Linked DNA regions of Pelodiscus sinensis. The protein of the gene in region 1 purifies or fractionates together with the protein of each later gene. This does not show direct contact. Links are inferred from orthologs where the notes say so. Each region holds a gene or a part of one and is shown in the gene's direction. Other genes may lie near its edges.

The links.
Region 2: the proteins of ACVR1 (region 1) and TGFBRAP1 purify together in Homo sapiens (co-immunoprecipitation; 3 studies listed by BioGRID and IntAct, counting the BioPlex papers as one, with this or other methods). This does not show direct contact. The link is inferred for Pelodiscus sinensis from reciprocal best matches to the Homo sapiens genes ACVR1 and TGFBRAP1.

Annotation. Positions count from the first base shown.
Region 1 is NC_134717.1:31,841,033-31,856,291, reverse strand, and holds the start of ACVR1 (activin receptor type-1), read left to right. Parts: upstream 1-7,931; 5' UTR 7,932-8,236; coding exon 8,237-8,244; intron 8,245-8,396; exon of another isoform or gene 8,397-8,582; intron 8,583-15,259. UniProt on the Homo sapiens protein: Bone morphogenetic protein (BMP) type I receptor that is involved in a wide variety of biological processes, including bone, heart, cartilage, nervous, and reproductive system development and regulation.
Region 2 is NC_134711.1:233,359,141-233,374,436, reverse strand, and holds the start of TGFBRAP1 (transforming growth factor-beta receptor-associated protein 1), read left to right. Parts: upstream 1-7,494; 5' UTR 7,495-7,610; coding exon 7,611-7,632; intron 7,633-11,391; coding exon 11,392-12,090; intron 12,091-15,296. UniProt on the Homo sapiens protein: Plays a role in the TGF-beta/activin signaling pathway. It associates with inactive heteromeric TGF-beta and activin receptor complexes, mainly through the type II receptor, and is released upon activation of signaling.

The DNA of each region.
Region 1 (15,259 bases):
CTCGTCCTAGGTAGATTATGCTTCCTGAAGGGCTGAGACCAGAGCTAAGCAGGACCCTTCGGAGGCAGAATGTGCCTAGGCCAGACTGCCAAGCATCTTTGCCCATCCCCAGACAGTGTCTGGGGCAGGAAGCGATTCCATCCAGGGCCTGGGTGCCGCTCCGGATCAGTCTGCTGCTTGGAATGGGACTGCGGCAGCACTGCTGCTTTTACTTGGAGGAGAAACCCCAGGTAGAGGCTCTGAGGCATCTGGACCTGGGGATGTTGGAGGCTTTCTCGGAAGCCAGAGGGCCTGAGGCATCTGTGGGAGCAGTCCTCCAGGGGAAGTGGCGTGGGAGTGGTGGGTAAGAGGAGGTGCTGGGTGCATGCTGGGCCAGCCCTGTTGGCCCCCTGCAACCACTGTGCCATGTGGCTTGTGGTGGCTGGCTGTGGTGCATGACCATGTGCATGGGGTGGGCTGAGCTTTGGCTCGCTGACCAGAGAGAGGGGCCACAAGGCTGTGTTCCTTCCAAGTGGGGGCTTTCAGCCCGCAATGCAGGGGCTTGCGTCAGTTGGTGCAGAGCCCAGGGTGCGGCTCATTCATACTGGGAATGGATGCAGGCTCCATGCCCCAGCCGCCCATTGCCCCATCCTCTGCTGCACCCCGACTGGCTGCATCAGCACCAAGCCACCCCTGCGGAAACTGCTACTGTTGTCCGGCAATCCCTGAGGCTTCACAGAGAGAAGGCCCAGCAGCATCTGGAGAGGCTGCCAACACAGCCACGTGGGGGGTGGGCTATCTGGGGGGGAGGGGGCACCTGCCTTTGCATGGTGGAGACCCCCTTGTATTGCCAAGAGGCCATGGTTCTTCCCTTAAAGGATTTGGAGGCAATAAGCACACAAATTGGGTGAAGGTTTAAAGATTTTACTAAGCAAATCTCAAAATAAAGTACAGTACTTATTAAGCAAATCACAAAATAAAATACAATACCTATTAAGCAAATACAAGGCTTACTAAGAAAGTACAATGCTTATTAAGCCTAAGCAAACCTCAGAATAAAATGCAACGCCTACGTCCCTTCTGCGGCTGGGAACCCCCTGATGAAGGACAGGGGATGGCCACCAGTGGCCAGTACATAGCACCTTCCGCAGCTTCGGTCTACGCCGAGGTTCCAATGTTAGGAAGATCCCCGGCACCTATATATTATCGGATCTACATTACTCACACCGATTGTTTTGAGAACCTGGCAAAATTACTAATACATCGACTATTTTCCCAAGTGAAATAATTAGCTTTAGCAGGTGGTAAACATTCAACATAGATAGCTATTTGATCTTCCCAGACAATCCCTCCCTCCTGGACCAGGTAGATAGCCTTGAAATGGGTCTCAGAGCCTGTTAAAAGTAAACAGTGCATTCCTAAGCTGTACCATCCTAAGCAAGCAGTTAACTCCTTGGCTACGTCTAGACTGGCATGATTTTCCGCAAATGCTTTTAACGGAAAAGTTTTTCCGTTAAAAGCATTTGCAGAAAAGAGTGTCTAGATTGGCACGGACGCTTTTCTGCAAAAGCACTTTTTGCAGAAAAGCGTCCGTGCCAATCTAAACGCGGTTTTGCACAAGAAAGCCCCGATTGCCATTTTCGCGATCAGGGCTTTTTTGCACAAAACAATACCGCATTGTCTACACTGGCCCTGTTGAGCAAAAGCATTTGCGCAAGAGGGCTTTTCCCTGAATGGGAGCAGCATAGCATTTCCGCAAGAACACTGACAATCTTACAAGTCCCACTCTCTGACAAGGATGTGAAGGACTAGTCGACTAGTTGCTGGTCTATGCTCAGTTTTTACACTTATCAGGCTCAAATTCCACCAATATAAATACCTTATATAGATACTACAGGAATATGCTCCCTGCTCACTCCCCTCAGGGGAGAGGTTAGAGAAGATGGGTAGATGTAGGAATGGAGTTGGGAGTTGGATGGAAGGAGGGGAATGGGGAGGAGGGGTTAGGGAGGATGATGAGTAGGAATGGAGGCAGGCAGATGTGGGTGTAAGAACGGAGGACAGAGGTAGGGCTAGGGATGGAAGGAGGGGGGTGGGCTGTGAGCCATGGACTATTGGCAGGTTGGGCAGGAGCAGGAAGGATGTGGGAGGGGAGACTGAAGGGCACAAGCAGGTGGTATAGGCTAAGAGCATTCAGATAGAGGGGCTCATCCAGGGGTGTGATGGGCGGTAGTGGAGAAGGGTGCAAGTGACTTGGGGCCATGGAGAGTGCAGCTGGGTTTGGTGCAAGATTAACAGGCTCTCTGGCTGTGAAAGCGGCCAGCGAGAGGGAGGGTTGGCGAGCGTAGTGAGCAGGGGGTGCATCTCCCTAGTATCTATATTAAGGTATTTATATTAGTGGAGTTTGAGCCTGATAAGTGTAAAAACTGAGCATAGACCAGGCATAGGAACAAGTAATCCTTGTTGTAATTACATGTTTTCCTCCTCCTTGGATTAACACTTTTACTTTAAGTGTTCTCAGAGGTTTATGAACAGGGCTCAACAATCTATGTAATCTACTTGCCCATAGCGAGTAGCTTACATCCCGGAAGAGCCGGGTTCGGGCGATCTGTGCAGGTGCAGAACGCTGGACAGTGCAGCTGGCGAGCAGGGGTCGCCATGGCTTGGTGAGCCCTGTTTATGAATAATAAAAACCAGGGGCGAAAGCAAAAGCAGGGACTTACTGATGGGCCATGCACTGAGCCTGCTGTGCTTGGTGGTGGTGGTGGGGCAGCTCCCTTCAGCCAGTCTTTCATGGCCAGCAGCCAAGAACCCAAGGGATGCACCCATGAAAGCTGGGAGCCAGAGGGCTCTAGCGGTGATTTGAGGGACCCAGGGCTCTCTGCTGCTGCCACAATGGGTCAGAGCCCTGAGTCCTTTTAGATTGTGGGGCTTGTCATGAGAATCACAGGTCCGATGATGCATACCCAAGGGAGGAAGGATAGAACCAGGTGGACAGTTTTATCAAATAAAAAATATTTATTTATAACAGTGATGAATTTATAGTATTTATTCTGAGATTTTTAATAGACCGTGTTAATAATGAATTTACAGTATTTATTATATTCTATGATTTCTAGCTAAACATATCAGAGATATAAGGATCCTTTTCAACTTATTCATAAATGATCTGGAGAAAGGGGTAAGCAGTGAGGTAGTAAAGTTTGCAGATGATACCAAACTGTTTAGGATAGTCAAGACAGAAGCAGACTGTGAGGGACTCCAAAAAGATCTCACCAAACTCAGTGATTGGGCAGCAAAATGGCAAATGAATTTAATGTGGATAAGTGTAAAGTAATGCACATTGGGAAAAATAACCCCAACTATACGTACAGTATGATGGGGGCTAATTTGGCTACGACAAATCAGGAAAGGGATCTTGGAGTTATCGTGGATAGTTCTCTGAAAACTTCCATGCAGTGTGCAGCGGCGGTCAAAAAGGCAAATAGGATGCTAGGAATTATTAGGAAAGGGATAGAAAATAAGACACAGAATATCTTACTGCCCCTGTATAAAACTATGGTACGCCCACATCTAGAATACTGTGTACAGATATGGTCTCCTCACCTCAAAAAAGATATTTTGGCCTTGGAAAGGGTTCAGAAAAGGGCAACTAAAATGATAAGGGGTTTGGAACGGGTCCCATATGAGGAGAGGTTAAAGCAACTGGGACTTTTCAGTTTATAAAAGAGACTGAGGGGGGATTTGATAGAGGTCTATAAAATCATGAGTGGTGTGGAGAGGGCCGATAAAGAAAAGTTATTTATTAGTTCCCTAAATAGAAGAACTAGAGGACACCAAATGATATTAATGGGTAGCAGGTTTAAAACGAATAAAAGAAAGTTCTTCTTCACACAGCGTGTAGTCAACCTGTGGAATTTCTTGCCAGAGGAGGCTGTGCAGGCTAGGACTATAATAGAGTTTAAAGAGAAGCTAGATAATTTCATGAAGGTTAGGTCCATAATAGGCTATTAGCCAGGGGATAAAATGGTGTTCCTGGCCTCTGTTTGTCAGAGGCTGGAGAGAGATGGCAGGAGACAAATCGCTTGATCATTGTCTTTGGTCCACCCTCTCTGGGGCACCTGGTGCTGGCCACTGTCAGTAGACAGGATACTGGGCTAGAAAGACCCTTGGTCTGACCTAGTACGGCCGTTCTTATGTTCTTATGATGGGAATGGCAAGGGGAATAGTCTCTATTCTAAAAATATCCAGCTACACTAATTAAATAACAGTGATAACTACAAACTTTATGTACTACCCAAAACAACTACAACACCAAGCTTATAGAACAAGAAAAATCAAATCATACATACCAACTTACACAGCACACGGAACATTTCAAAGATATTGGTTCGGTTGCGAAGATCTTGGTTACGCCCGAGTGTCGGGGGAGGTGGCTGGTCGGTTGATCAGATCGGCAGCGCTTTGAAGTATACGAGCAGGCACATGCACGGTGGTACGTGTGTTGCGAAGACCCCCTCGCGTGAACTGTGCGATGGGTATTTATCCCCAAATCTGCACATCGCTTTCCCGCGCTTGCATATTACCATATATGGCCCAATGGTCACCAAGTGGGGGGTCTGTGTTCCAGGGGTTGGGCCGAAGCTGAGCAGGTTTCATGCGACCAGGTAAGTTCTCATGCCAAGGTGACGGGTGGGAGAGTTTGAAGCTATTTTCCCCTTTTCACTCCTTCCCTTTTTCTAAAGGGAATGGTATGCAGGAAGGGTGCGGCCGGTTTCTCCCAAGGAGTACTGCAGCCCACTATAGCAAGAGCGGCCTGGCCAAACTTTTTACCGGGGGAGGGGCAGTTTTTTTCTAATAGGGCTGTAGGGCAACTGCCCTGTTTGCTCTCCTGTGTCAGCAGCTCTGCCAGTAGAGTCCAGCCATGCTGCCACAGCAGTGTTTTAATGTCACTGCCTCTTTTGCCATTCCACTCTTCCAGATAATTCAAAGTCTAGAAAAATGTATGGAGGATAGGGCCATGGGGCGGGATGATGTCCCTAGCTTCTATTTGTCAGGGCTGGGACTGTGTGACAGGAGAGGGATCACTTGATGATTACCTGTTCTGTTCATTCCCTCCAGGGCACCAGGCATTGGTCACTGCTGGAGGACAGGCTATCGGGTTAGATGGACCTTTGGTCTGATCCTGTATGGCTGTTCTTAGGTTCAGGTCTCTTGAAGCTCACAAATTAGCATAGTAACATCTCTCTCCAGAACCTGCTGCATTTTAAAGTGAATTAAAATGAGTCCTTTAACCTTCAGGATTCATGTGATTATTCAGTGATTGTAAGTATATGCAGAAATTATATAAACTCAGAAAATATCCATAAATCAATTTATTTTCCTATTCAGTCCCTTCAGTTCATTACCTTAATGCAGACCAATGGATCAATTGTTCAGAAGAATTAAACTAGGGTCCTCTATGATCTTCCTAAAGAACAACATATCTGACAGAATCTCAAGCATAACTGTTCATAGAATATTTTGTTCTTGTAAATACATTTAATTCTGCAGTGAAGTTTTATTTTACTTATTTTATTAATATTTGTTACTTTATTTTTCATGTGTACAGACACAAGATGTAGGAAACTAAAAAATAAGTTGCCAGCAGTAGTTGACAGTCAAAAGATGAATCCAACTTTTTGCATATTTCATTATTTGGTACAGAATTATGAAAACGGAGAACAAATTCACAGAGCAGCTCATTTTTTTCCTTATGTGTCTACTTACTAATCAGAAACATTCTACTATGTATTTTATAATGGTATTTTTTAAAGTTGATTGTTGACTGTTAAAGCAATTACTAGTGAGACTCCAGAGAGAGTCCAGATGAACAATTTTTTTCATTAGCACCAAAACCTCTCCCCTGTCCTGAGTTTGTAAACTGCCTCTTGTGATGAGCCCCAGATGTTGGATTTTCCTACTTTGCAAACTGTCTCCTGAACCACAGCCAGTGTTTCCCTTTAGCTCTGGAGATTCCATCTTTATTTGATTACTCTCTCATATTTCAGATCTAAGTTTAATAAATAAAATTTATATTGAGGAAAGACCACTATACTAGAAGGGGTTTGCTGGTATAGCAATATATAGAACTATGTTGGTAAAACTCTCTAGAGTGGATGCAGTTTTTATTGGCCTAAAAGTTTTTGTGATGATATATCTTATGCTATTCTGCAAACAAAATTAAATTATTCCAGCAAAAGTACCTTCTTACCAGCAGAACCGTACTTGTGCTAGAATAGCTATGTTAGTTAGGGATGTGTTGTTTTTGCACTCCTGACATACCTAAGCCAGCAAAATTTTAAGTGAATGGGCCTGAATAACAATACAAGGAGCCAGATTCTGCTTTTAATGTATGTGGTTGTATCTTTAAATGGCCTCAGTTAAAGGACCAAAACTGTCCAAATGTTCCTATGTTAATTCACAGAAACACGGATGAATGCTGAATTTGTACACTCACCTTTCCTCTCCATCCACTGCCTCCCATGTTTGTCAATAAATGCAGATCTGAATGCACAACTGCAATGCCTCCTGTGATTCAGGATAGTTGCACATACTAGGTATTTATTCCATTCAATTTGTAGTATATTTTGCAGGAGCCAGAGAGAAGGCTGGGGGGGAGGAGGGGGAAGGAAGGAAGGAAGAGGAGAGGAGCAGAAAGCAAGGAATTCAAAGCTGAAGGAGTAGAGGGAAACTCAAGATCATCTCATCTGAAGAAGTGGGTTTTGCCCAGAAAGCTCATGGCACACACTGTCTTCTCTCTCTGTTAATCTCTCAGGTGCCACAGGACTAGTCATTGGTTTTTAAGATCTGTGAGTGACACTGTTTCGGTAAGTGGCTCTCTGTCTGACATGAGTATGGATATTGCTGGGGCTCATTGCCTCAAAAGTTTTCTACCTATTCCTCTGGCATAATAGCCCATCTCTCACAGCTCCCTGGTGCAAGTGTGCCTGTGCCCTGCTCGCTAGTGAAGGAGCAGTTCTATAGCTGCATTCTCTGGGTCCTTGTCAGCTGCCAAAGTTGCATCCCTGTAAGGTTAAATCAGTTTTTAAGAGATGTGGTTAAACTGCAGCAAGTCACAGCGCAGCTCTTGGCATTTCAGCCTGACTGGTGTCCTGGCAATACACCTCGGCTACGTCTAGACTGGCATGATTTTCCGCAAATGCTTTTAACGGAAAAGTTTTCCGTTAAAAGCATTTGCAGAAAAGAGCGTCTAGATTGGCACGGACGCTTTTCTGCAAAAGCACTTTTTGCGGAAAAGCATCCGTATCAATCTAGATGTGGTTTTGCGCAAAAAAGCCCTGAGCGCCATTTTCATAATAAGGGCTTTTTTTGAACAAATCTGAGCTGTCTACACTGGCCCTTTCGCGCAAAAGGACTTTTGCCCGAACAGGAGCAGCATAATATTTCCGCAAGAAGCACTGATTTCTTACATGAGATCGTCAGTGTTCTTGCGGAAATTCAAGCGACCAGTGTAGACAGGTGGCAAGGTTTTCTGGAAAAGCAGCTGCTTTTGCGGAAAAACTTGCCAGTCTAGACACAGCCTTCCAGTTTTAAAAAGCCTAGTGTCCCGCTTGCAGAGAAAGGCTGGAGAGCGTGACCAAAGTCCATCCTAAAATGGCTCAGAAATGGAAGGCGGCTGAAGAGAACAGCCCCACCCCCCCTATTGCTTTGAAGTCAGTCTCGCTCGGTGCCTGGCCCAACCCGCCCGGCTGCTCGGGCTCGCCAGGGGCACTCTATGCCAGACGGCAGCGCCACCGGCTGCGGCGGCCTGAGTGAAACGCAATCCACATCCGCCTGGCGCGTCTGCCCTGCGGCTGGCGGCTCCCTCACGCGGGGCCCGGGGGCCGCGAACGTGGCCTGCAGGGGGCGCGGCGGGGCGGCGCGCTGGGCCGGTGCCGGGAGGAAATGATGCTCCTGGTGCCTGGTTATTAATTACAGCGCCGGGCGCCCATTGGCAGAGCGCGGCGCAGCCACTTCCTCCTGCCGCATCCCGGCCCCTCCTGCCGCCGCCGGAAAATTTGGCTCCGGCGTCTCGTTCCCTGCCAGCTCCCGCCCCTTGTCCGCCGCCGCGCCGGGCTGGGGGGATGCGGCTGGGCTGAGCCGAGGGGAAGCGCCGTGATTAGAGCGCAGCGACGTGCAGCCGCCGCCGCCACCCCATGGGGAGGGCAGCCCGCCTCTAGCGCCCGGCGCCGCCGCCGCCTCCCGCTGCGCTGCTATGAGACGGTGAGTGGCCTTGCCGGCCCGGCTGTGGCGGGCGGCCCGGGCCGGGGGGACGCGCTGCCGGCAGTGGGGCCCGAGCCGCTTGGGAAGGGCCGGGTCCGGGCGGGCGGCTCGCTGCCTCCCTCGGGCTGGGGGCGCCTTCAGGGGCGCGGGCAGCCAAACCCCGGCGCCTGCCCGCAGCGGCCAACCGGCCTCCCCCGGGTGTCTCCCTCCGCCGGGGGCCTTGGGCCCCCAGTGCACGAGAGGCGGTGACCTCCCCTGCGCGCCCTGCCTCGCTAGCTGCCGTGTGGCCAGCTTCGAAGGCAGGAATGCGGCGGGAGTCGTCTTCTGGTTCCCCCAAGGTAAATGTGGTTTCAGATGTTGCACGTCACTTTGCCAAGTTTAAACCCTTCCCTCCACGCTGTAACCACAATGGTTGGGGGGGGAAATGCTTGGGAATCTCACACGCGAAAATGGGGGAAGGAAGAGGGCGGTGGGCTGGCTGGGTGGATGAATGCTGCTTTTAAATGGACGACTTGCTATTTTCGGTTCGCCTCTGGGTTCTTCTGTCACTGCTTTCAGCACAAAAACATTTTGTAGACAGGCTAGAGTTCTCACTAGTTCCAAGTTCCTTTTGTAATGTAGAAAGGATTGGTGAACAAGGCTGACACTTTCCTGTTGTTTCAGTCGCCTCATGCTGATTGATAAACATGACAATGAGTAACACACACAAAACGTTGGTAATTTAGTCCTTTGAAGAATGCAGCTATTTAGTGGGGTCTGGTTTCCCATTAAGTCTCTTTCCTGTAAGCAATATTAAAAGTCTGTAAGCAGAGTTTTAATGCATCACCTGAGCCCAAAATAGAACTTGTTGCTTTTCTGTAAGCTTTGTAAATATTTATAAAGTATTTATCAAACATGCCTTAAACTATCTCTCCAAAACATAGTCCACGTGATACGAAGTTGTCCTTGTCACTTGCTCATTGAGTAATCAAGGATCCCTTTCCTAATGCATTGAAGTCATATAGGACAACTTGAAAATGGTTGACCTATGTGATTTCATGGTGTGGAAAAAAACCCTCTGACATAAATAGATATTACCAGGACTCCTGTATTGTGTGTTGATAACTGCAAATATCACAGTTCAGAAATGTAGAACGTGGCCTTCTAAGCATTCCATGCAGGCTGTAGGAAATGGTTACTAGTTTGAAAGAGACCAGGAAGCAAGCGCTTTTGTGTTACTCTGGTCAGCTCTGTGAGACAAGGCTGACTGCTGTTCCTCAAGAGCAATCCCATTAGCCTGATGAAGAATGGTATTAACACAGTCTGTGGATTCTTGTCTGGTCTAGAACTCAGCCTTGAGAAAATAATCTTCCATTTATCTTTTTCCTTCTCCCCCAAGACCTCAATTAAGAAAGTTGTGAAGAAATGGGTATTGAGGAAGGAAAATGTCTCAGTTGTTGAGAATGTGAACAATTCTCTTACTCAGGGGAAAGAAAACCTTAAAAGGAAAAATTAAACTACATTTTTGAGTATTAATTTTAAGGATAACTTCTCTAGCCTTATCCTATGGATAGGTATAATAGCAAACAGCCTTTTATTTTGCTAATTGGCTCGATTTAGAGTTTCCAGATTTGGGGGGGGGGGGGAGAAGAGGGAAAGCTCTTGCTAATAACTCAGTCTCAATGACTGCTTTCTGAAGAGAATAATACTAGATACCAAATTCCACTCTATTCATCTGTTACAGTGCTTGTTAGTGTTTATATACAAACAACCATGTGCCTGAGTCATTGACTGTAGAACAAATGTTCTGGACTATATACAATGCAATCTTCCTGGGTGATGTTTAAAATGGTTACATTTCCTATTTCTTGATATGAGAGAGAAGACACACTGGCTTCCAGTGTGGCAGATGCCATTGAAAATAACAAGCCAAAAATAATGTGTGCATTTGAATCTCTTAAGTCCATTTTATTCATTAATGATTTGATGGTGCAATGCATTTATGGATGATTAAATCAAACAACTGTTTATGTAGGTGAGAATGGGCTCATCTATACATCAACCTAAAGATTTTAACTACACTTTGTAAACATTGGGGCATAAGCATGTTGTTAGCCTTTCCAGTAATGTAATTTATAGCAATGCCTTGTTGAGGTAAAAAATTAGTGGCCCCCACTGTTAACCATTCACATCCCTATTTTATAGTAAACTGGAAGAATGACTCACTTTCCTTTGACTTCATACCCTGCTTACACCTATTGAAGATTGTGGGCATGTACAGCTATCACCTGAGGGCATAATTTGTCTTAAAGGAACTTTTGTTATTGGTGGTGATATAGGAGAGAGCCTGGAATCTGAATGTCTAAGTTTGAAGGGTTGTTAGCTGTAAGTGAATTTTTCCATCAAGTGAACATTCTCAAAATGGAGTAACTGAGATTTCCAGGTAGAACCATGTTTTTGAATCTACAGACATTATCTGTTTTTGTATGACAAGCACTGAGACACTTCTGTGGTCCCCAATCTTCTACTTAGGAAAAAATCCTGTTAATGAAAAGGATGAAGCAAATGAAATAATTTGTTTATGGTCAATGATGTATTTAGATGTCTCTTCAGTTTTCCTTTCTGTGTCCTATAGCCTTGAATTATCCCCTATGCTGCTTACCCATGGCAACCATAGTGACCACATCAAGTATTTTATAAATGCCCTCCAAGATCTATCTGTAAAGGTGTAATGTTTGAGAATAATGTTCTTCCAAAGAAGAGTATGAATTTGAAGGTAGGAGGAAAGGTAAGCACTCAAAAGAAGCAGCTGGCAAATGCATTGCTGCTTCCTTTGATGGGTCTACTTATTTTGGACATCGTGTGTGTGTGTGTGTGTGTGTGTGTGTGTGTGTGTGTGTGTGTGTGTGGTTTTTCCAATACAAAAGTATTCTTTAAAAACAAAAACAAACTCACTACAGATTAACTGTGGTGTGTTCCATACTGTAAGTAACTTGCCCATCCCCCTGAATGTACAGTTAGTATGAAAATTTTTTTGTCTGTATTATAAGTAACATTGTGAAGGGCCCTTGGCATGCCATATATTTTGGGACTTGTCTGTTGACCCAGATGGCCCAAGATTTATTCATAGTTCTTGCTTCTAGTCCTTCCCAGCTATTCATACACCTTTTTTGCAACCTAAGGACAGTGATCATTTCTCCTCTGTCTCCATTTTAGGATACACTTCCAAGATATACTGTACATACTGCAGTGACTAAGATCATTTCTACAACCATTTCACTTTATACATCATCTGCCTTTGTGATGACTTGTAGTCTGTCCAAAAATATAGAAGGTGGGGCTATGGTGTGGTGTTTTGTTTTGTTTCTCTTAAACCCTGCAGGAAGGGCACCATTTCTCTGTTAATTATAATTCATGTAAATATAACACATTTCAAATTTGGAAGCAGAGAAATAGAAATCCTGTTTGGATATTATTGATAGTAGCAGTACCAGTCGCTGTCAGTTGTATCAGCTGCTCTACTTTACAGACAGCTCTATTGGCAGACTCTTTCTATTTTCATCCAGTGCTTTTATAAGTAGGTCTGACAGAAATTGGGTTTTTATTTTTTATTATTATTTTGATGGCTAATGTTGTTTAAGTGTCCTTATAGCTTTTATCAGTTTAAATCTTCAGTTACCCTAATTTTGGTTCTTTGGCTTAAGTTTTTATTGAGTTGACTTCCCACAATTTCCAAAATTTATGAAGGGGAATGGTGGTCAGACAACTATTTAATGGTGCTAGACACTACACTACAGCTACACTAGAGGGTTTTGCTGGCAGAGTATGCTAATGAAGTGCTTGTTAGCATTTGTCATGCTGTCATTAACTTATTCTCTGTCTGAGGCTTTTTGTGCAAGAGGTTTTTGCGCAAAACCAAGCCATGTAGACGGATCCGTTTTGAGCAAAACGGATCAGTCTGTGCTGCTTGTTTTTGCACGAAAACCTCTTGTGCCAAAAGCCTCAGGCAGAGAATACACTAATGACAGTGACAAATGCTAATGAGTGCTTCATTAGCATGCTATCTACTAGCAAAACCCTGTAGTGTATATGTAGCCCGAGACTCTAAGCTTATAATGGTTAAAACAGGTTGTCAACATCATATGCCAAACTACATGAAATAAATAGCCTAAAATCACATGTTCTTGAGCACCCCTCCCCCCCTCCCCGTTTTGTCTGTCTAAACTTCAATTGTAATTGTGGGAATACTTTTTCATTGTGTGTGCTGAAATAGAGACATACTGACATTGATAAGTTTGATTCTACAGGTTGTACCTCCCTAGACCGGGACTTCTAATCTGGCAACATCTGCGGTCCTGTTCCTAGACATATTTACATGAATTATAATTAACAGAGAAATGGTGCCCTTCCTGCATAAGGAGCCCCACAGCAGTGGATTTGGCCAGTACGGGGAGCTCAGGTGGCACAGCCAGGAGCGTGGTCAGGGCTTAGGCAGCACTGGATGTTCTATTGGTATGGCTAGGAGCACTGTGGCAGGGGTTCAGGTGGGTACAGCTGGGAGTCCCAGAGTTGAGGGGTCCAGCCAGGGCTGGCAGCACAGCTGGCTGAAGGTAGTGGGGGCCAGCTGGGGCCAGAAGCAGAGTTGGTGGGTGTCCAGGAGGCTGGTGACCAGGGACCTCCCTTGGTCTGGCAAATGTCCTTGTTTGGGACTGGCCAGGTCCCAAGGGCACTGGACCACAGTGGTCAAGCCTGTAAAAAGCCTATTTATTAGCTACATTAATCTTCCTAACTTTACTTGCATGAGGGGAATGAATGTAACCATGCTATTCCCTTCATTTATTGTAAGGAATATGGAAGCATATGGGTTGCTTTATCTTTGCAAGTCAATCATGTTAGCTTGTGTTTACTTGGTATATAGAATGTTGTAGTCACACTCATTACTTAAAAAGGGTTTTGTAACTGTTCAAATGATGCCCACAGAATTTCAGTCTGTGTCCCTGCAGACCTTCTTGGGAGCTTTTTTTCAGCTATATTTCCTGAATCTCGTTACTTAAACTTCCATGTTCACAAACTGGAAGAATGTGGGGTGGGGTTTTTTTGTATTCTCAACTATAACTTTTGATGACTGTTTATACTTATGTCCAGCCTGACATGTCAACCTGGTTGAGATCTATTTTTTTCCCCATGTTGTTGATGCATCCAAGTAAGGTACCCAGGAAACTGAGGAAGTAGAGATTTGCTCATTCTTAGCAGTTGAGAAGCTCTTGGGGAGAAGTGATAGAAAACCCTCTTCTCCCCTACAGCAGGGAAAGTGGCACAGTAGAGTGGAACTTACATTTTATGTGGAGTTGATGTAGGGGGAAATCCCTTAGATTTGTTCCCTTTTCTAACAACTTAACCTTACAAGTGGGGTTCCTGTAACCTGTGTTTGTACATCTACATCTGTCTAAAAAGTAAGTGGGTGTGTTGTGGAGTGCAGCTCTTTCAAGAGCTAGCTGAGTTGTGGCAAAAGCCAGGTGAGAGCCAGATTGCAATAGGGTAGAACCTGTAAATTTTTAAGGTACTTTCACCAGTGGGTAAAAACATAGTTTATTTCTATCTGTGTAGCAAGAAAGAGCTGTGTCTTTACTCAACTTTAGGGGGTGGGTGGGAGTGGATCCTTAGACCATGCTTAATCTGGGATCCGTCCTGCTAGCCCTTAGGTATAATGATCATTAGTGGGATTCTACAAGGCTCTTTGTATTACAAGTCCTTAGTGCTGTGGTCACCAACAGGTCAATCGCGATCTACTGGTCGATCGCGAGGCCTCGACCAGTCGCTCGCGAGGCGTCCTGTCTGCCCACCCCCATTTCCCTCCCACCCCCGAGAAGCCCCACTACTTACCTCAAGTGAAAATGGAGGTAGTGTCAGCTTCCTGGGGATGGACAGCAGTCCCGCAGCTTAGTGCCACTTCTGGCGGTTCGGGAAGTGTGCTAGCTGCTTTGCCCGGCGTACTGCGGGAGGGAGCATTGGCTCCCTGCAGTGCACGGGAGGAGTGAGTCAGCCCTGCGGGAGGCGCGCAGAGGGGGGGTTGGCCCCCTGGGCAGGCGCGCGTGCATGGGGTGTTCTGGGGTGGGGGGGGGGGAGAATCCTGGGAGGAGGGAGATGCAGGGGACTCTCTGCCTCCACTGGCACCCCATTCCCCAACCCCCACTCCCCAGCCACAGAACGTTGTCCCCACTCTCCTGTCCCCAGCTACTGAACGCTGTCCCTATTCCCGTCCCCACTCTCCGAACTCGGTCCCTACTGGCACCCTGTCCCCAGCTGCAGAAACCTGTCCCTACTGGCACTCTGTCCCCTGCTGCACAACCCTGTCCTCTGCCCTCTCCCCTGCCCCCAGCCTCATTATAATGTATAATTAAATGCTTCATTTTAGATTTAAATAGCATGAATAAAAAACAGACCATTTATTTCATAACTATAAACACGTGATTTTAATTTTATGTATTGCATAATTTAAAAATAAACTGTTTATCAGCATGTGTAAGTAAGGGCTTGGGGATAGCAAGTGATGGACAGGAGGAGAATAGAGAGGGTGGGGCTTCAAGGAAGGGGCGGGGTGGTAGATGGTCACCTGTTCTGAGATTTAAAAAGTGATCTTGGGTGTAAAAAGGTTGGAGACCACTGCCTTAGTGTGTAGCAAGGATTTTAATCTATGCTTCAGTCTTTTACATCTGTAAAATAGTGGTGATACTTCCCAGGCAAGTTGGAAGGTTTAATTTCCAAACACTTGTAAAGTGTTTTGGGATTCACAGATGGAAGGAGTTATGTAAGTGCAAAGTTTTGTTAAAGGATAATCAACTGAATATTGCATTCTAAGTACGATATTGCCCTGCAGTAGTTGCAACCTTTACATAATAACACTGAAAACAATATTTTCAAACACACACTGTGACTTAAGGAGGCCAAGTCCCACTTTCAGAAGTGACTAAATGTGTGTCTACACAATGGAGAGAGGAATTGTCACCAATTCTCAGATTAATTGACTTCGGTTTAT
Region 2 (15,296 bases), on another chromosome or scaffold:
GTAGGGCCAGGTGAGGAGGCACAGGTTATGGTGCAGACAGAAAGAGTAAGGCACATGGGGCTACTGGGAGGTCACATAGACTGGGATACAAAGAGTTAATTGCAGGGGGGAACTGGGACAAAGGCTGAATGGGACTGAGGATGCAGGGCCATGGAAGATGGCCGAGGGAGGCACACATATGGACAGGGCAGCTGAGCAGTGGTACAAGGACACAAAAGGAAACACACAAAAAACAAAAAAACACAGAAAAGAAGCTCACAAGAAGTGGAAACTTGGACAGATGACTAGGGAAGAGTATAAATATATTGCTTGAGAAAGCAGCGGCATAATCAGGAAGGCCAAAGCACAACTGAAATTGCAGCTAGCAAGGGTTGAGAAGGGTAACAAGAAAGGTTTCTACAGGCATGATAGCAATAAAAGGGTGATCAAGGAGGGTGTGGGAAAAGATGAAGTACTCAATGCTTTTTTTGCCTCTGTCTTCACAGACAAGGTCAGCTCCCAGACTTCTGCACTAGGCAACACAGTATGGGAAGGAGATGGGTAGCCCTTGGTTGAGAAAGAACAGGTTAAGAACTATTTAGAAAAGCTAGACACACAAATCCATGGATCCAGATTTAATGCATCTGAAGGTACTGAGGGAGTTGGCAGATGTCATAGCAGAGCCTTTGGCCATTATCTTTAAAAACTCTTAGAGATCAGGGAAGATCCCGGACAACTGGAAAAATGCAAATGTAGTGTCCATCTTTTAAAAAAGGGAAGGACAATCCAAAAAAAAAGGGAACTACAAACCAGTGAGCCTCACCTCACCTCAATCCCCAGAAAAATCATGGAGGGGATCCTCAAGGAATCCATTTTGAAGCACTGGGAAGAGGGGAAAGTGATCAGGAATAGTCAACATGGATTCACCAAGGGCAAGTCATGCCTGACCAACCTGATTGCCTTCTATGATGAGGTAAATGGCTGTGTGGACATGGGGAAGTCAATAGATGTACTATACCTTGACTTTAGCAAAGCTTTCAATAGGGTCTCCCATATATTTTTGCCAGCAAGTTAAGGAAGTATGGATTGGATAAATGGACTGTAAGGTGGATAGAAAACTGATTAGATTGTCAAGCTCAATGGGTAGTGATCAATGGCTTGATGTATCGCTGGCAGTCGGTTTCAAGCAGAGTGCACCAGGGATCGGTTCTAGGAACGGTTTTGTTCAGCAACTTTATTAATGACCGGCTAAGGGGATGGATTGCACCCTCAGAAAGTTTGCGGATGACACTAAGCGAGAGGGAGAGATAGGAATGTTGGAGGGCAGGGATAGGGTCCAGAGTGACTTAGACAACAAATTGGAAGATTGGGCCAAAAGAAATCTGATGAGGTTCAACAAGGATAAGAGCAGAGTCCTGCACTTGGGTCGGAAGAATCCCAAGCACTGTTACAGGCTGGGGACCAATTGGCTAAGCAGCAGTTTGACAAAGGACCTGGGGATTACAGTGAATGAGAAACTGGATATGAATCAACAGTGTGCCCTTGTAGCCAGGAAGGTAATGGCATATTAGAGTACATTAGGAGGAGCATTATCACCAGATCTAGAGAAGTGATTATTTCCCTCTACTGGGCACTGGTGAGGCCACATCTGGAGTATTGTGTCCAACTCTGGGCCTCCCACTACAGAAAGGAGGTGGACGCATTGGAGAGGGTCCAGCGGAGGCCAACGAAAATTATTAAGGGGCTGGAACACATGACCTATCAGGAGATACTGAGGGATTTGGGTTTGTTTAGTCTGCAGAAGAGAAGAGTGAAGGGGGATTTGATAGCAGCCTTTAACTACCTGAAAGAAGGTTCCAAAGAGGATGAAGAAAGGCTGTTCTCAGTAGTGACAGATGGCAGAAAAAGGAGCAATAGTCTCAAATTGAAGAGGGGGAGGTCTAGGTTGGATATTAGGAAAAACTATTTCACCAGGAGGGTAGTGAAGCACTGGAATGGGTTACCTAGAGAGGTGGTAGAATCTCCGTCCCTAGAGGTTTTTAAGTCCTGGCTTGACAAAGTCCTGGATGGGATGATTTAGTTGGGGTTAGTCCTGCTTTGGGCAGGGGGCTGGACTTGATGACCTCCTGAGGTCTCTTCCAGCCCTCGGATTCTATGACATATGGGGACAGGGCCACAGATTCATGATTGAATGTGAAAGGTTAGGGGTCAGCTAGGGTCTGCATGGAGGAAGCTCCCCATCTCTCAAAATCCCTTTCCCAAAAATCAAACCTGTTTCATACTTATGTCACCCATACCCAATAATTCTCCAGGTCACACTCAGATTCTTACCTAGCAATTATTCCCTGTTTCTCAGCTCCTCCCTTACCCCAACTCCCTCAAGCCTTTATACTGTTTTTGAAAGATGAATGAAATATGTTTCTGAATTGTAGTTTAAATTAACTCAAAGTTCTGTAATAATATACCTAATATATAACCAGTTTGTCAAAAAAATTCTGAATTTTTTGTTGTCTGTATTGGTACATATATACTTGCTGACTTGTATTTTGAAATAAATTACCAAAATAATTGAAATTGGAGTGATTACATTGTTTTTGAAAAATAAAATATTGTGCATAGAATTGTTAATTTTTTAGTGCAAATTTCTCCAGAAGTACATTACACTACATATAAGACACTCTGTGTCTATTTCATTGACAGCAGAGGTGTAAACAGTTGTGAACAACAGCTTCAAAGTGACCAATCAACCACACACCTTACTTGGAAGTGTAAGTATGCAATCAGACAGCAGAGACCCAAAAAAGGAAATACTATTCTGTACAAAACAGAGTTAAATATTAAAATGATAAAAAATAAAGGGGAAGTTTAAAAAAGATTACAAAGTAAATAAACTTATTTCATTTAAATTTAAAATGTTAAAAACAACATTTTTCTCCTGTATAATAAAGTTTCAAAGCTATATGAAGTCAATAGTCAGTTGTAAACTTTTGAAACAGCAACCATTACATTTTGTCCAGTGTTTCAGACATTTCAGAATTGGGAACAAGCTCCATTAGGTATTTGTAACTTTAGTGTATGAACAATTGAATAGATCGGACAAAGTGTATCCAGCAGAGGGCAGTGATGTATATAACAAAAGGAAAAGAATTAAAGACCAATTTTCATGCCACAGTGCTAACATCTTGGACAAGATAATAATTATCCAAGGGTATGTCTACACTAACCCCCTAGTTCGAAATACTGCCAGGGACTTGTTTTACTGGTTACTGGTGTCTGACCAGTCAGTACTTATCCCATCGTTTCTAAAACTTTCTAGCAACCCATGTTACCTCTATAACTGAATGGAAATTTGGCATATGTTCCTTAGGTCGGTGAATCCATCTTTATAGTGTAAAGAATCATGCTAATCTTTGCTATTATATAAGCAGTTATAAATGAGATAGGCACTTGTCAAATATTAGAAGTCATTCCTTCTTTGTAGTTTTATCCATGTATCATTTTAAGATCCTAATTCTGATAACACTTATGCATGAGCTTAACTTTATTACTATGAATAGGCTTATTTAAATTAGTGGAATTACAGTAGTACAATTAAGCACATGCATACATGTTTGCAGAATCACAATCTAAGAGAGGACACATGCCATTTATTTTCTAAGTAGTTGTTATTTATAAACTACTCAGAAAAAAAACCAAGTATTTTTCATTGTATTTTAAATGTTTGCCTTGTTTTTCAAAACCTTAAGATATCATGTTCTTTTAAGTCATTGTATTTCTCCTACCCACAGCAATTTAAAAATATTTATTAAAAAAAATACATACTAAGTGAAAACAAACCAACCTTTCCATACATTTATCAAAGTACCTTCAGTTCCTAGTGTAAAAAAGTTTAAACTTCAAAGTATTTTAATATAAAGAACACTGTAGAACCATTAGCTCCTTTCTATTTTATGTTATTTTTACATAAATATTTCTCTATGAATCACATATTACAGTAAAACTCCATTGCTCCGGCATCCAATGCTCTGGCACTCCTGATGGTCTGGAACCATCGGGAACCTGGGAGTGCTCCAGGCAGTCCGACAATTGGAGCTGCTCTGCCCCAGGCGTCTCCGATTCAGCCGCTGCTGAAACTGACCAGCAGCTGATTCCAGGAAGCCCGGGGTAGAGCAGCTCCAATTGTCCGACTGCCCGGAGCACTTTCAGGTTCCCGATGGTTCCAGACCATCAGGAGTGCCGGAGCATTGGATGCCGGACCAAGCAGCTCTGCCCCGGGCTTCCTGGAGTCAGCCGCTGATCAATTTCAGCAGCAGCTGACTTGGGGACGCCTGGGGCAGAGCAGCTGAGGTGCTGTCGGGTTGGTCCCGTAGCGCCGCCCCTCAGCACTGCAAGACCAACCCAGCAGCACCCCAGCTGCTCTGTCCCAGGTGTCCCCAAGTCAGCCACTGCTGAAATTGATCAGCAGCTGACTCCAGTCAATGAAGCAGGGATTTAAATATCCCCCGCTTTTATCAACAAATCCAGGTTGTGAAATGAGGTTTACAGGAACAGTCGACAAAGGCTGCCCTGTCGAAAGATCCGCGTCTTGACTGCTGCGCTGTGCCAACGATCAGGTGAGCCAGCACAGCATGGCAGCCATTTTTATTTTAATGAAGTGGGAGATATTTAAATCCCCGCTTCATTGACTATGTCGGGTAGTCTAATTTACATGCCTCTGTCGGCATAGGCATGTAGTCTAGACATACCCAGGATGTTTGACATTGAAGTAAATAGGTCTGGATCTGTTGATAAAAATTATCTTTGACTACTAATATTTGATGATTTGCAATAACCAAAAAGGTCTGGCTATTGTGAAGTACAATAGACTCATAGACTCATAGACTTTAAGGTCAGAAGGGACCATTATGATCATCTAGTCTGGCCCCCTGCACAGTGCAGGCCACAGAATCTCGCCCACCCCTCTTAGAATAATCCTCTCACCTATGTCTCAGATATTGAAGCCTTCAAATACTTTGAAGGCCCCAACATGCAGAGAGTCCTTCAGCTGTGATCTGTGCCCAATGCTACAGAGGAAGGCGAAAAACCTCCAGGGCCTCTGCCAATCTACCCTGGAGGAAAATTCCTTCCTGACCCCAAATATGGCGATCAGCTAAACCCTGAACATGTGGGCAAGACTCACCAGCCAGACACCCAGAAAGTTCTCTATAGTAACTCCTATCATCCCTCCATTGACCTATTTCCAACTGATAATGGTCAATTAGTTACCATGATCATGTTATTTCATTCAACCATCCCCTTATCATAGAATCATAGAACTGGAAGAGACCTCAGAAGATCAAGTCCAGCCCCCCGCTCTAGGCAGGACCAACCCCATCTAAATCAAATAATTGTTCACTGCTTTGAGTTAGTACTATTTGAACAAAAATGTCTACAGCAAGAATCTTCCTCTTCACATAAATCCTTTATCAACCAGTTTTCATAAACATTTGAAATGGAGTCTTTTTTTATTATTATTTTTTACAGGCCCCTAATAAGGCTGTAAACTATAACTTAGTTAACTTATGCTAGATCAAAGTTTGGGGCCAAGGCAGAGCTTCAGGCAGCTCCCAGAAGTGGATGGCATGTCCTGTAGTGGCACGAGAATAATTTTTGGAGTAATGATGCTGAGCTGCATCCCCCTTACCTCCGTCCACATCCCAACTGATCCTTAGAGCTGTGGCCAGCAGCTGGGATCCTACAAATAGGGTCGGTGTCCAAAATCCTCATTCTGGCAGCTAGGTGGGATCCTGCAAGCTGGGCTCAGCAGCAGGGCCAGTGCCCAGCAGTCAAGTGAGACCCAAGGCCATGGCTGGCCACCAAGAACATTCGCATGAGGACAGTAGCTGAGCGGGGCTCAGAAGTGGTGGCCAAGTCCCCGAGAACAGGACAAGCAGCCAAGTGGGAACCAGGGTTGGACACCGAGACCATTTGTGTGGTCACAGCAGCGAAGTGGGACCAAGGGCCTGTGGCCAGGTCCCTGAGAGCAGGGCCAGCAGCTGAGTGGGACAAGGGGTTGGCTGAGAATCTTGAGCGTGGGAATGGAAGCTGAGCAGGGTCCTGGGCAGGAAGTGAAGCCTGCACATGGGATGCAGAGCCCCCGGATATTTGGCTCCTTGGGACAGAGATGGCGAAGGGGCATGACTGTCCATACGGGGCACAGGGCTGGGGCAACCCCTTTTCTCCCAGTGGCCCAGGTGTGGCACTTAGCCTAGGGCAACCTCCCCGCTACAGGCCCCACACTAGGGGCAGGGGCAGTGTGCACAGACCCCCTGTTACTACCCCTGGACCTAGGAGCTGGACACGGGGGCACGTAAGCTCTGGGCGCGGCAGGGAGGCAGGGGCCGGTCTTCGCCCTGCTGCGCCACCCACTGCACTTGTCGAAGTTCTGACCCGCGCCCGCACAGCGCCCGGCTGCTGAGGACGGGGGGGGGGGGGGGGCGGGGCGAGGTCTGGCCGGAGCGAACGTGCAGGGCACCCGCATGAGGAGCGTCCCGTGCGTGCGGGGCGCTGGGCAGAGGGGCGGGGCGCGCGCGCGCGCGCTGCGTGAATGGAACGCCGAGGGAGGACGTGCTTGCGGGGGGGAGGGGGGGGGAATAGTGAGTGTTGGGGGATGGGCTGAGTACGGGGCGGGTCTGCGGGATACGCGCCCACGAAAGTCAATGGGGGCGGCGCCTTTTCCTCCCCTTGCCCTCCTCAGGCCCCGCCCTTCCCGTGTCCGGCGCCGCTCACGTGACCGGAAGGAGCGTGAGGAGGGGGGCGGGGAGCCGCCCCCGGAGGAGGCAGGGCGCCCGGGCGGGCCGCAGGCGGAGACCCGCCGGCAGTAGCGCGGCGGGGGCCAGGCCGCCCCGGACCCGGCCGTGGCCGCCCCGGTAAGCGCCGCGGGGGCGGACCTGAGCCCCCCTGGGCCGGCCCCGGCCTGTGTCCGGGCTGCGGGCGGGGGCTGCAGGAGCCATTTTGTCCGGCCGGAGCGGCCGCTGTCCGGGCGCGGGGGCCGCGCTGGTGCCCGAGGCGGGCGGGCGGGCGGGCGGGCGGGGGGTGACTCCGGGTCGCTGCTCTGCCCAGCGCCAGGCCGGGCGGGGCGGGCGCTCCCTGCTGAGCGGTGGCGGGCGCAGGGGTGAGGGGACCGCGTCTGTCTGTCTGTCCGGCAGCCGCTGGCGAGAGGGGCAAGCCCAGGCAGAGCCTGTCCCCGGGGCACGGCTCTGGAGGGTGAGCAGCGGCCCGCAGCGTCGGGGCCCGGCAGCGTGAGCCCCGAGCGCCTCTGCGGTCAGAGGGCCGAGCGGGAAGGTAGCGGCTTACGGATCGTTGTAATAAAGCCCCCAATCCAGTGTGTCAGGGGAGCCCATGATGTTTGGTGTCTGGCCGAGTTGTGAACTGAAGCCCTCAGGCTCGTCTTCTGAAAGGGATGTGCCGGCTTCCTGTGCTCGTAAGGGCCGATAGGAGAGTTACGATGATGCTCGCTTTTTGTGAAAAGTGTTCCCCCACAGGTGACAGGTGTGTCTGTTTTGTTCAGTCACCTGCCTTGTATGCCTGAGATTTGAGGACCGACAGGGCTACACCCAAACTGCACTACATTGTACTGTACTGACTAATCAATGAGGCAAAGCCTTAAGCAGGGTGAGGCTTTTCAGTGATGTCTCCAAAATGTTTTTAATTTATAGGGTCAAATATTGTATTTTTGTATGTATATTGAATATCTAAGTAATGGGTAACAATAGTAATTGCAATGGATGGTAGCATGTGCCACTTTTAGGGATTATGCTATTGATGTTCAATATTGAACAATTTCCCTTGCTATTTCTGAGAGAGATGGAATCTGGTACTTACAAGGAATAGCATATTCCAAGATACCTATACCAGTGCTATCTGCTTAAAACACAACATGTTGCAAGATGTTTAATCAAAGATACATTTAAAAGATATAGCATACTGGTTGTGTTTAAGTTGAAAGAAACTTTCTCAACAACCTTATTCTTGGATATATAGCCAGATCACTTATTTTCTGTAGACACTAAATCTGTATAGTATTACATTATGGTTTTTGCCCAGGATTTGCATGATTTAATTTTAGCAGCACAGGCTACTGGAGGATTCTAACTAGTTTGATTATTTGCATATTTCTTTGTATATCCCCTTTATTCTGAAGATGTTTTTAAAATTGTCTTGGTTAGAACCAGACTTGTACTTGGTTAGAACCAGCTCTCCCACTGGCAATCAGCATTTTTTACCCTTGGCTACAGGAACTTTGACTGAATGTTGACAGCCAGAGGTAAGAAGGGCAGTGTAAAGTTTAGGGGCTGGCTTTTCACTGTAGGCTACAAGCTATTTTTCAGACTAGGTAGCTAAGCCCATGGCGGGAGGAAGGGGAGTGCAGATATAACCAAAGTTTAGATTTAAAAACCTAAATACATTAAATTATGCCCTAAAGCTATTTTTCAGCGTCCAACTAGAAATGACCTGTTTTTCAAAGGTCCTTAGCACTTTCAGTCTGCTGTTATAAATTGAAGTTGTAGCTGTATCTTGTCTTAAAATCAGGCCACTTCTATGCAGATGATTAAAAATGGATTTTAGCCTAACTTTAATGATCCAAGTTTGAAAACATTGGCCCAAAATAGTTTACCGTGGTGTCTGACAGAGCTTATGCTTTTCTGTGATCTTATGGTTTGAAAGTATACTGCATTGGGAATACTGATGGAAATTTTCCTATTTAAAGCATTAACATTTATGTTCTGGATGGTGGATAGTAATGTTTAGATGGTGCTGGTTTTCTCAAATTTGTGCAAACAAATGTTTGGGACCTAAGCATTTTATTTGAAATGTTGTTGTTGTTGTTGTTGTTTACCTCTAAGCACTTGTGGATGAATAATCCTTACTAGTGACTTCCCCCACAGGCCTGTAACTCTCTAAAATGTTCAGTGTAGCACTGTACACTGCCTAAAGAGCAGTCAGAATTCTCAAGTTTTAATAACACTCTTGAGGGAGATTGTGCTAGACTCACGTGGTTTAGTTTGTCACTCACTTCCGCTCCCTCCCAAACTTTCAAGGATGTGGGAGAACTGCTTTCTGGTGGTTCGTGCTTTAGGACAAGGACCTCTTCAAGTACGAAAAGCTAGTCAATACTCATATTTCATCAGTGATACAAATGCTTGTTTGCCTAACATGCTAAATGGGGAATTAACTTTGGAATACTAAATTTAATTTGGATGTGCAGAAAATATAATTGATAGCAATGTGGTCAGGTGTCAAAAAACAACACTGAGTTGGAGCCACTCTTAGGCTTCATCTACATTGTAGGGTTTTTGTGCAAGAAGCCTTTTGCGGAAGAGTTCTTCCGCAAAAACTACTTGTACAAAAGCGCATCCAGTCCTCATGGACACTTTATGGATACTCTTGTACAAGAAAGCTCTGATGGCCATTCACAGAATGGCCGTCAGAACACCTGTGCTTTTTCGGATAGGGGTTTCTTGCTCAAGAAACCCCTACAGAGCATCCACACTTGACTTTTCTGCACAAGAGCTCTTGCTCAAAAAGGAGTTATTCCTCGTGGGGAGAGAAATAACTACCGCCAAAAGCTTTCTCTTCTGCTGATTTACTTGTGCAGAAGTGCGCTTGAGGTGTGAACCCTCCACCTTGTAGTGTAGACATAGTCTTAAAGTAATTGTCCATATGTAGGATCCCACATAAATCATGATTTCTTGGAAATCACGAAAATACCCCACAAAAATGATTTTTCCTTTTTTATAAAAAATGGAAACTGTTAACAATAAAACCTGCAGTACAAAAAAATTATTTACAGTGCTATGCTCCTATATCATTCCACCCTTGAAACTGAATAAACTTAGTAGTAAAATTAATTCCATGCAAATTTTTGTGATTTTAGTACTTTGTTATTTACACTATAGTGAATTTTCTAAAAAAGTAAAATAAACTGATTACACAGGGCCTGATCATGAGATTCACATTCTGAAGATCTGTCAGAGAAAATGCTCGTAGATAATGGTTCTGAAGAGTGAGGTGAATGAGCGTATTAATGACAAACAGCTCTGAGAACAGGGAACAATACCTGTTAAATTTTTGTGCTGTTGACTTCTAAACCTCATGAGAACACTTTGTGGGCTACATTTTCCAATAAATTGGGCATGCAGTTCTGTGGGTAAATCTACTAATTGCAAATGCAGATAGTCAAATGGAGTGCAGAAATAATGGTGTCCTTAATTTTTTCTCTTCTAGTGAAATTGACTATTTCCACTTAAAACTTAGTTACTGTGTGAGAGTACCATATGGCTCTTTATTTTTGTGCAAAGCTCCCATTATCTGAGAGATGCTATGGATTGCATGTAGTAATATTAATCTAGCTTTAATTCAAGCCCCCAGGCTACAATTCAAAATATCATTTGCCCTTCTTAAAATGAGTTTTGAGAGATTGGTATAGAATAAAAGTACCAAACTCTTTCAATATATTGGAACTTGTAAATTGCTTTGTTGGTTATTATGAATTGCTGTTCAACTTCACCAACATTTAAGTTATTTATTCTTTTATTTCTTCTGCTTGCAAATGATTTCTCTATGACCAAATGAACTAGATTTGTAGTTTTTTTATCTTGCACGTCACCTTTTTTAAATTCAGAAAAAGTAATAATTGACTGCAATATTTTGTGAACACAGCTGCTTGTCTGGAGTTTTTTTTATTTTTAGTATGCTATGGAAAGTTACTTTTACAGTGCCCAAAATATGCTAGTATCTTTACATGTAGACAGAGTAAGATGTTTAGTGTTGTGTTACTACTTGGGAGCTCCATATGGTGATGTGTAGAAGTAGAAAGTAACAATCTAGCACTTGGAAGAGGTCTCTTGGTTTATGCACCCAAAGCAACCAGCTTTGTATTCTCAAGTAAGCTATGCTTTGAATTCAGTAAATTACTTCCATTTTCTATGCATACTTTACTCATAGTTTTTCAATTTATTTAGTTCCCTAAAGGTTTTCTTTTTTTTCCTGAGGTGATTTCTTTTGAATCAGACATATGTTTTGAATATACACAGCATAATCCAGGTTGCTTGCGAGTTTTATGTTCTAGATGCTCTTTGATGTGCACTCCCTTGTAACGGTAAAAATATATTATGTGCATATCAAGGGTAGAATATATTTATTATTAAAAGCAGAAGATTTCTGAATGGCATATTTTATAATTCTAGATTGCCATTAGCATAAATTTGATCAGATGGAGTATAAAGTGCTAAGTGAAAGATTAATTTACCAGCCTAAAGGTCTCCTTTAGACAGAGGGTAATTATTTCAGAATTGGCTAAGGCCTTTTAAAGTTAGCGGGACTTAGAGATGTGAATAAAATGTTGTGGTTTTTTTTTCTCTTCCAAAACAGGACATCCAGAAGACACAATGAGTGTGAAGGCCTTCAAGCTTGTTCCTGCTGTTGAGCGGGAGACGCTAATGGGAGACAAAGCTCGAATCAATGTTGAATGTATTGAGTGCTGTGGGAAAAACCTCTATATTGGAACCAACGACTGCTTTGTCTATCACTTCCTACTAGAAGAGAAGATATCAGCTGGAAAAATAACTTTTGCCACCACCAAACAACTGCATAAATACTTGGGCTTTAAGAAAGCTGTCAATGAGCTGAAAGCAGCTTCAGCACTCAACAGGTTACTGGTGCTTTGTGACAACACAATAACATTAGTTAACATGATGAACCTGGAACCTATTCCTACTGGAGCTAGAATCAAGGGAGCTGTGACATTCACACTAAATGAAAACCCTGTGAGTGGGGACCCTTTTTGTGTAGAAGTTTGCATTATCTCTGTGAAACGGCGGACCATCCAGATGTTTATGGTGTACGAGGATAAAGTCCAGATAGTGAAGGAAGTGTTCACTCCGGAGCAACCATGTGCTGTAGCTGTAGATGGTCATTACTTATGCCTTGCACTCACTACGCAGTATATTATATTGAATTATAATACTGGCACCTCCCAGGATCTATTCCCTTATTGCAGTGATGAGAAACGACCAATTGTGAAAAGGATAGGCAGACAAGAGTTTTTGCTGGCTGGACCTGGCGGGTTAGGTGAGATTGAAATTTTTTTTGACTTCCAATTTAAAGTTTCACTCCATTTCATGTTGATTGAGGTTACTTTAGTAATTGATGTTAAAATGTAGAATACATGCTGCATTTCTTTATAGGCTATACTTGAAATATTTGAAAATTGAAAGATAAGTAATTCACTAAAGCTGTTCCTGGGTATTCTCATTATATCGTTTTACAAGTTTGCAAAATTTGCATATCACTTTAAAATGGTAAACTTCAATTGATCTAGATAAACTTGGTTTTGGGCTGTCTACAGGGAAATAGAAAAATGCAGGTGGAATAAATTCTACTCTTTCCCCAGGGCATATCAAAGTAAAAACCAAATGGAATTATTAAGACTGTTAGCGTGCAATTCTGGCTATAGTAAATGATTTGGGACTCAAGCAAACCAAATTTTCTTGTGCCAGACTTACTGTGATCAGGGAGAAGCTACTTAAAATCAGTGTGTCTGCAGCTTCATCACTGAAAGGTAGTTATACTCCCCCATCTTCATAAAGCAATGCAAGAGCTACAGATACATGCATTTCACTATAATACGATCATTAAATGTTTTGAGGATAATTAGTACTGATACTCAATCTTAGTTCCTTGTAAAGTTGCAGCACAACAGCAGAAGTTACTTTTTTGGTTGTCTTGCATACTTGCCTAAATTTCCCTGGTCATGCTGTTGGTTAGTAGTGCCCTACAGTAGACTTCAGGAATAACAGCAGTAATTACATTAGACAGATTTAGGAGACACCTTCAGGGAGACCTGCCAAACTGTGTAAACAAAGCTAGATCTCATGCAGAACATCCAAGCCCCCTTTTTCTGGAGCATCTAACTGTGCACTGCATAAACAGCTATTGTGGGGGGCTGGGAGGTGTGCTCTGATGGCCAGTATAGTTGAAATTCTTAGATCACAAGCAAGTCCATTTCAGAGATGAAGACCCCTCTTGGGAAATGCTCTACAACCAGCACTTTACTTAGATTGATGGGGAGCCAACTTGAATGCCTCTGTTAATCATAAGCGTACCATAAGCATAGTATGACATAAAGGGATAGTCTGTCTCAAGTATCCAGGTCCCAACTCAGGGCTATGTGCAGCTTCTACAAAATGAATTAAGAGATCCAGTAGCTATAGGCAAGACCACCGTTACCTGTCAGGTTTGTTTCAGTTACATTGAATTTACTGGATTTGTTGGTCATGTATCTGAAGTGTCGAATACAGTCCATTACAAATCTTGCCAACCTGGGCTCCAGATACAAGGCACATTTATTTGACTTGGCTTGTGCTTATGTGACAGAAAGCAAACAAGTTCACTTGAATTAAAACACACCTTCTCAAAATAAAACACTTCAATGCATCTACTTCCTCTGGAGAGAGGATGAGTGAACAGACATTTGACATGCATTGTTATGTTGCTTAATGAGCTACTGGAAGGCACTCAGATACTGTGAGCATGGTAGAGGTTGGACCTCCCTGGTCTGGCAGCTTAGGGACGTGACCTGTCCCAGAGGAGGGATTTTGCCAGACCAGGGGTGGTCATTTCTGGCCCCCACTTGCCACCACCTCCCTCCAGCCCTGGCCTGACTGCTGCCCTCCAAGCTGGCTCCCCCCTCTCACTGGCCCAGCTGTCCTGTCTGCCTCCACTGCTTTACTGAGCAGCCCTGCCGTCTCTGTGCACCAGGATCTTGCTGTCATGTTCAGCTTCTGCTGCTGTTCTGGGAAGCCACAATGACTCTGCTCACTGGGCTCCTACTGCTGCACCAGGCAGCCCTGCCACGTGTGTGCACAGGGCTCCTGCTGCAGTGCCCAGCAGCCCTGCTACCTTCATGCACCGGGCTCTGTGCTGCTCTGTGCAGCCTTGCTGCCTCTGCACACCAGGTTCCTGCTGCAGAGCCTGGATCCTGCTGCTACTCCAGGCAGCTCTGCAGCCTCTGTGCCAGGCTCCTGCTGCCATGCATGGGGCTCCCATAGCCCTGCTGAGAAGCCCTGCTGCCCTGGCGCTAGCTCTCCACTGGGACTGGGACTCCACTGGGTCCTGGAACATCTGTGGTCTTGCCAGTCCCAGTTAAGAGAGTTTCAGCCTGTATTAAAACCTATATAGACTAGAACAGGGCAGGCTGCCAGTTTGCCCTACCAGGAGTCAAGCGATGCATCAGTGTATCAATTGAGAGGTTGACAATCAACTGCCATATCCTGCTGTTGACACCTGCAGGATGAACCTTTATGCCAATCTTGACACAACTGCTTAATGTCTAGATTATCTTTGCATGAGTAACCTCAAAATAAGGTTACTGTGATTTTGATTATAGACTGGTACTTACAGATTTCATGTGCTACAATGAAAATGAAGATGAATTCCTATATTTTGTTTTATCTAATCAACCTGTTCTTTAACACCCACTTCTGCATAAGTTTCTCTATTTCATTCTTCTCTTCATCTTTTTATTTTTCATTTTATTTACTTGTAGTGTAAAAGAAACTCTATCCCCAGACTTCCTGTTACCCACTTCTTCATTGGATCATTCTTTTAATTTTCTTGTCTTCTTCCTTGCCTTCCCTAACTATATAAATACTGTTTTTTTTAATTTCTGTTCCTACATGAAAGTTCTAGAGACAATGACAAATTAGGCCATCTGCCTGTCTTAATTAGCATAATATCTAGTACCAGGTTTAGATTAGGAAAATGTTATGTTTAAAGGCATATTAGTCAATGCATCTTTCAGTGCATTCGAAACAGTGTAAAAGTATAATAAGGCAGCCAAAAAGAATTCGAAGAACAAAAGGCACAAATTAACAGCAATTTTTTAAAAAATACATTAGAATCAGGAAACCTGTCAAACATTCTGAATTATAGAGATGCTGAAGGAACATGCCAAGAAGATACGCCCATTGTGGAGAAAAGCTAAATAAGTTTTTTGCATAGGCCTTTAGTGCAGTAAACATAGAGGAGATTCCCACACCTAGTCCATTCTTTCTTAGGTGCTAAATCTAAGGAATTGTCCCAGATTGAGTTGTTGTCATAGGAGGATTTGGAACAAACTGAGAACTTTAACAGTAATAAATCACCAGGACCAGTATGGTATCCACCCTAGAGTTCCAAAGGAACTCAAATATGAAACTTAGGAATACTTACTGTGGTATATAACTTATTACTTAAATGGGCCATTGTATGACGTGATTGGCAGATAGCAGCTAATG